Linked DNA regions of Schizosaccharomyces pombe. The protein of the gene in region 1 binds, or shares a complex with, the protein of each later gene. Each region holds a gene or a part of one and is shown in the gene's direction. Other genes may lie near its edges.

What was found.
Region 2: mug178 (region 1) and nam9 share a complex: the UniProt entries of both Schizosaccharomyces pombe proteins name them as parts of the mitochondrial small ribosomal subunit.

The regions. Positions count from the first base shown.
Region 1 is NC_003423.3:3,446,624-3,450,381, reverse strand, and holds the start of mug178 (mitochondrial 37S ribosomal protein bS1m), read left to right. Parts: upstream 1-2,157; 5' UTR 2,158-2,491; coding exon 2,492-3,169; 3' UTR 3,170-3,758. Other genes in the region: ade9 (trifunctional formate-tetrahydrofolate ligase/methenyltetrahydrofolate cyclohydrolase/methylenetetrahydrofolate dehydrogenase), read right to left, coding at 1-1,011, 1,279-1,415. UniProt on the Schizosaccharomyces pombe protein: Component of the mitochondrial ribosome (mitoribosome), a dedicated translation machinery responsible for the synthesis of mitochondrial genome-encoded proteins, including at least some of the essential transmembrane subunits of the mitochondrial respiratory chain.
Region 2 is NC_003423.3:3,727,695-3,731,083, reverse strand, and holds nam9 (mitochondrial 37S ribosomal protein uS4m), read left to right. Parts: upstream 1-1,734; 5' UTR 1,735-1,795; coding exon 1,796-1,831; intron 1,832-1,884; coding exon 1,885-2,832; 3' UTR 2,833-2,889; downstream 2,890-3,389. Other genes in the region: mpg2 (mannose-1-phosphate guanyltransferase), read right to left, coding at 1-1,023, 1,124-1,163, 1,227-1,267; rns1 (putative RNA-binding protein), read left to right, coding at 3,016-3,207, 3,274-3,379. UniProt on the Schizosaccharomyces pombe protein: Component of the mitochondrial ribosome (mitoribosome), a dedicated translation machinery responsible for the synthesis of mitochondrial genome-encoded proteins, including at least some of the essential transmembrane subunits of the mitochondrial respiratory chain.

The DNA.
Region 1 (3,758 bases):
GCAAGATTTACTTTTGCCTTATAGTTCCCATAATTTTCTAACTCTGTGTCATAGATACCCATCTCCTTAGCAAGATTGCTAATTAATTTAGGTTCTTGGGAATTAGCAATTTCGATATCAGAAGGAACAGGCTTCTTTAACTCTAAAGGATTTAAGTCAATTTTTCGATAAATGTTTTCTGTTCTAGCTATCTTGGCAGCGTTTACAATATTTTCCATTAGCATAGCAACAGTCATCGGTCCGACGCCTCCAGGGACAGGAGTAATGCTGCTAGCAACTTTGGATGCAGATTCGAAATGCACATCGCCAACCAAAACGCGTTTTCCATTTCTTTGAACAGCGTTTATGCCAACATCTACCACAACAGATCCTGGTTTCAACCATTCACCACGAACAAATTCGGGTTTGCCTAATGCTGCTATAACCAAATCAGCATTAGAAATGTGCTGAATTAAATCTTTAGTTTTAGAATGACAGACAGTTACTGTAGCATTGTCCTTTCTCAACAAGTAGCTAATTGGATTTCCGACAATGTCACTTCTTCCCAGAACTACAGCGTTCAATCCAGCGACTGAAATCTTGTTATCTTTTAATAACTCCATAATACCTTTCGGGGTACAGGGATAATGAATGGGGGTAGCATCATTCTTTGCCAATAAACCAATGTTAAATGCACCAAATCCATCAACGTCTTTCGGCGGAGTGATAGATTCAGTAACTGTACGCTCATTGAGATGCTTGGGAAGAGGAAGTTGGACAAGGACACCGTGAACCGTATGATCGTCATTCAATTTTTTTAATTCATGAAGCAAGGCAGGCATTTGGATTGTTTCAGGAAACGGGCAGTATTTAAAATCAATACCAACTAATCGTGCCGCCTTTTCTTTCATTCGAACGTACACGTTAGAATCCTCACGTTTTCCAACCTGTACAATGGCAAGCGCCGGCTTAAAGTTTCGATCCTTAGCTTTCAAGGCCTGCACTTCTTCAGCAACAGAACGTTGTAATTTTCTAATTAGTCGCTACATTAGTAACCTCAAAGAGAAATAAAAATATAAAGTTTTAAGAGCAAAAAAATCTGATGAAACCTCAAACGTGCTGCAATGCCCAATACAATTTTTTAACTTCTAAGTATCGACAAAAAAATTGAAGAATATACGGAATTAAGCAATGTACGCAAATCAATTTTCAAACCACCAAAATTTTATCGTCAAAGACAAACACAGAAATGCACGCTCATCTGCATAGAGAAAATTTAGAATATAAACTTTATCTTACCTTGCCAATAATTTTCCATTTAGGATATTCGCAGAACTTGAAGTACCATACGACTGAAAAAGCCATTTCGATGGCCGTAAGCTGTTGCTTTCTAGAAAATAGTTTCGTAATTGATTAAACGAAACCATTACGTTCATAGAAAGACACCCAGAAGTGGTAGGGTAGTAAGGGAACCTGCCTGTCCTCTGGTGGTGTGTTAAAGCAAAATTTTTATTGGTAGTCAGGTAATCTATGTTGAATAATACGCTTACAGTAGAATATGAACCGAAACATTTTAATAGCGATTGTATTAAAGCAATGTATTCATTCTCGTATAATTTATTCTTCAAGCTCGAATAGTGACTGGAACAATTGCATTATTGCAAATCATAATGTATTGAACAAGTAATAATATACCTAAGCCTTTGAGATAGCTAATAAGCACACAAATAGTCAAAGAAAAAGTTTAAAAATCTGTTACATGATATACAGAATCTCAAGATCAAATATAATAGACAAATATAAACAACAAACGATCTGACAAGCAACTCATTAATTATCAGTAAATAAACTTAGACTAGAAAAATCATATAGTTTAGTTTAGTAGAGATAAACTCATTAATGAACAAGGAAGAACACACAAATTTACCGAAAGTTAACCTTTATAAGTTTCACTTTTCTTATGATAGCCATACCTTTAGTATTACTAATTTATAATTATAAAAAAAATTCCCGTTAAATTTAATAAGTACAAGCTAAAATCGTACTCAGTCATGGTTTACTCGAGTGTAAACAATTAAAGCACTCTGTTTCTCTATCCAACAGTGTGCGAGTCAAGTAACATTGCTACTTGAGGAGAGTGAACGTTTACTACACAACATGCCGACATGACCTCCTAACGAAAGCGATTCTATAACTTCAAACTAGCTATTGTAACATTGGCCATAATTTTGTATATTAATAGAGAGAATTTCATCTCGTATATACTTTTCATGAGTGTGCACACTTGATGTAAAACACTTCGCAAGCTGGATTGCACGACAAAAGTATATAAATAGCTGGCATCAAAAAATTACAGTCGTATTCGTGTGTTTTCTGAGTGATTGCTATTGATATTGACAATATTGACTCATTAGAAGTACCCACTTTCGTTCAGCAGTTACTTTTCGGTGGTGGTTTACATTGGGCAGAATTTGGATGTTTCTGACAAAGTATATCTTTAATCAAAATTATAATGAAGTTTCCTGATTTGTTGAGATGCTCCCGAGCAGTTAGTTTAGCAAGACCAGACTTGCCGAGGAACTCCCCTGATGTCTATGATACGAAGATTCCCATCCTACAAGCAATTACTGCGAAGAAATGCCAAAGATTTCGCGGCGATTGGGGAGCTAAGAGGAAGTTACCGATCCTAAAAAACCGTCATATTTCCATACAAAAGTTTGACACATTCGAGCATCAGTGTGCCTTCATCAGCAGTGACAGATTCGTACGCACCTTGAAACGAATTTACGACCTTAAGCTCCCTGTTCCGCTTAATGATTATGAACAAATTTCCCCTTACCTTTTACAGAAATACAACACTTTCTCAAGCTCAAATCCTAAATCCAGACCTACACTTCCACCAGGTATATTATACGCCAAATTGAAACTTTTAGATTCTTTTTCTGATTCTGAAAAGAAGCGCCTAAGTTTAGTATCCTTTATTCAAACTAAAAAAGTCCCGTTACCATTTACTTACGGAAAATTTGCACCCGACTCTAAAGAATGTTTATTTGGTGTCTCAGGAGTTATAGCTGCTACTTCTCTCAAAGGAATTACTTCAACAAAAAATCGATACGTAATTCGATCTCTTAATGTCGATGAAACCGGTAAAACCATTCCAAATATCACACGAGAAAATAGGAGTATTTAATACCATAATACAAGTTGACATTGACAATAAAAAACAGTAAAACGATTATTTCTCCCGTGAGTCACTTCGGTTTTCTTAAAACAATAGCTTTTCTTTCAAGGAATTGTTTCTTAATATTGTTTTCGTCTGTTGATAATCGTCTATTATGAAGATCCATCCATATTTAACATTTATTTCATCTGCTTACGATCCTGAGTTTTTGAGTTAGGGAAATTAATTGCACGGACTACTTTCTCCTTGAGCTATCATGATATGCCTTTAAGATCATTAAATATTTTTAACCGTTATTTTGCATTGTAGTGAACCGCTTTTTTCTCCCTCTTTTTGTTCATGGAGAGATTCTATACACCTATTACTTTTTCTAGGAAATAATATTGTCAACAAGCTTGTTTATTATTCCCACCATTCTTGTTTAAAAAAGATTGAATTTTTATTGTTTGTTTTTTGAGTGATTTTAACTTATTTTGGTTCTTGTAATTTTCGTTATGGCCGTATCGCATTACTGGAAACCTACGATGTTCCTAAGGGTGTCCGTTTATATTGAACTCTGTTTGGTTTATATTATGTACGCACGTGCTAAAAAATTTGC
Region 2 (3,389 bases), 280 kb from region 1:
AATCGTAGTGGAGTGCTGGCTTGGAAGAGTTGGAGAACCTTCGACTCGAGACCATTTACCAATCTTGCAATGGCGGGAAAGAATGGAATGTAAAACAACAGCATTGGCAGAAATTTCGCAATCCTCTTGAATAATTGAGTTTCGAATACGTGCGCCATCCTCGATGCGAACACGAGCACCAATTGAAACATTGGGTCCAATCTTTGCACCTTTGCTAACAATAGCATTAGGATGAATAAAAACCGGCTGAATGATCTCAGCCTCAGTGTCGGGTTTTGGAAGAGTACCATCATGATATGCCTTTTGTAAATACAAGGAATTAGCAGGAACAGCAGAGCCAGCGGTTTTTATTTGACGCCAGAACTCAGGAGTATTATAAGCATAAATGGCTTTAGAGGAATCTGAGCACAATGGAGCAAGCACATCGGTCTCCAAACTGAGGTAGTCTTCCATTCCTTCATCCAAGGACCTGAGTTGCTTCTCGACCTCCTCAAGTCTACGCTCGTACGCTTTTTTGATTTCATCGAATATAGAGGCATCAAAGATATAAATACCACATGAAATAATATTTGAAAGATAGGAGCTTGGCTTATCAACATAATGAAGTACACGCCCAGTACTTGGTTCCTCTACAAGGCAACCGAAGTTAGAAGCATCTTCTTTACTAACCTTAGTAGCCATTAAAGTAACTAAAGCTTTCTTCTCGTGATGAACGTTTAACAATTCTTGTAAGGGAAAACTGCAACACACATCCGCATGCATAACAAAAACATTAGAAGTATGTCCTTTAAGGATTTGATCACGGAAATGGTATAAGCCGCCACCAGTTCCTAAGCAGTTGTATTCACGGAGATACTTGATACGATTGAAACTGGGGAAATGCGAAGCTACTTCGTTGATAAAATCTTTGAAAACGCTTTCATCGTAGAAACCAACCAAAAAGACATCTTTAACACTTTCAATCTTGGATAAAGCCGCCAAATGATGGTAAATCATTTCTCGTCCTCCAATTTTAAACAAAGGCTAATTTAGTTAGCAAAATAGCTCTTATGTTTCAAATGCAACTAGAAAGTAAAACTGGATTACGTATTTTACCAACATATAAATTCTAAATAAGACGTACTTTAGGGACATCAAACGAAAGAGGGCGGAATCGGGTACCACTGCAAAGTAATTAGTTACTGATATTCACGCGTTTAATAGACTTATTTTTCGTTGGTACGTACCGAGATGGACCCCCGACCAGAATGACAGCAGAGGAAATCATAATAGCAATTTAATACTAAAAAATCAATAATGAGTATCAAAATCACCAAAAACGAAAGAGATATACGCCTCTTGAAACTTGGTGTGTGGTTCTGTGCAAGTCCTGTCCAGCTCTCCTTTGTTTAATAAGGAAGGTAGCGCTATGAGCTAACTTCTGCCAGTTCATATTTGCACTTAATAGCCTGGCTGCAGAAGATAATACTCTATGTAACAATGAAATACTAATGTAAATCAATTTAGTTCAAAAACCCATGATCTAAAAATTGTGCTGCAGGCTGAGGCACTTTGCCAGCCGTGAGGAACTTAATGCTCATCATCAGCTGTTTTGCAGAAAATAGTAAAGCACCTTCTAGCTTTGGTACAAATTATAATGCATTAAAACTTAAATAAATAAAATTTACTAATTGAATTTTCGAGTAAAAGTAGCCTTTTTAAAAATTTGTTCTCTTTAATCACCTTTATGAATTTACCATCAACTTCACGCACTACGCTGGAAGATTGGACTCTCGTGACAAAGACTTAATTGCTCATGAAGGGGAAATTTAGGTTCTCTTTAAAGCGCGGTGTATGTTATATATGAAATTATTGATTTTTTCGCTTTTATTAATACATATCTAGCTTTTGCGTCCGTCGTGGAACAAATACAATATATACAACATTGCAAGAAAACAACTACCTGCTCTGAATAATAGAACTTTATATCAAAAAAAATGGAATGCGAAGAAGGAAACAAGGTCTTATCATGGTCCTCAATTACGCGAATATCAACTGAAAAATGCCTTCCGCCCAAAATTGGAGGGGGTTATTTCTTCCTTAGATAATAAGCTTCCCATCCCTTTTATGAATCAGACTTATGCATTTTTGGAATCCCGTTTAGACATGTCTATTCATCGAGCGTTATTTGCGTCTAGCGCTTTACAGGCTCGCCAACTGGTGCTTCATGGAAAAGTGCACGTAAACGGAAAACCTGAACGCCGTGCCTATCGTCAACTCTTACCTGGTGATTTAGTAACTGTTGATCAAAAATCAGTAATGAATTGTGTTTCTGCCTCTAGTAACAATACCCCTTCTATACAGGATGGGAAGCAAACTGAACAGGTGTCCTCTAAGGATGGAGAAAATGAAAAAAAAAAGGATAATGATGATGATTTATTTGAACAGACTTCTAATGGAAAGTTGCCCTCTATCAATGAAACAATTTCCAACTTTGTTCCTAAACCGTTTATGTCACTAATGGCATTTATCCCTGCTTATTTAGAAGTTTGCTTCCGCACTTGTTCCTTTGTTTATGTGCGTGATCCAGTTGCTCGTCCTGGCTTAACGGAAGTTCCTTCTCCATTTCCTGAAGACTTGCACGCTTTAGCCTATACATACTATATCAGAAGTCGTAATATGCGGCAAGGAGCAGCTAGATGTCAGGCCAGACGGCTTATTCCGCAGAAAGTACGCGATGCATCATTTTATCAAGGACCTCCTGAATTATATAAAAAACGAAATGTTTCTCCCAAAGAAGCATTCTCTCATCGGTATCCAGTTCGTCAAGGAAAGTTGACGAAACTCGTATAAATCGAATAAATGAACTCCTCTCAAAAGTTTAGTAATAAAATATAAAACATTCTCAATTATGCTTTTTGTAATACTATGTTGATTTCCACTTTTGTTTTCCTGCTCTATGAAGTAACTGCCCTGTCTACTGCTATCCACGTAACCAAATCTTATACACATACAAGAACTGGCACATCTTTTTTCATGTACCAAAAGGAGGCCTTTTATCGTGGACGTAGCTCAACAAGACAATTTAACAATACCCGATCTCCATCTGGACGTTCAGCGTCGCGTTCTTCCAATTTCTCACATCGGTCTAGTAGTCGTGATTCTTTTTCCTCGAATAGATCTTACTCGAGTTCGCTTTCCAGATCTCCAGAAGAACCATTGCGAACAGTACGTTTTCCATGTATAATTAGTTATTTAAGGCATACTAATCGTTTCTAATACGATGCAAAATAGATTCTTGTGGAAAATTTGACGCGTAATGTCACTAAAGAACATATAGCAGAAATATTTGGGATTTATGGACTAATTGATCATATTTTCATGCCAATTTATAAAAAATGTGAGTGAGC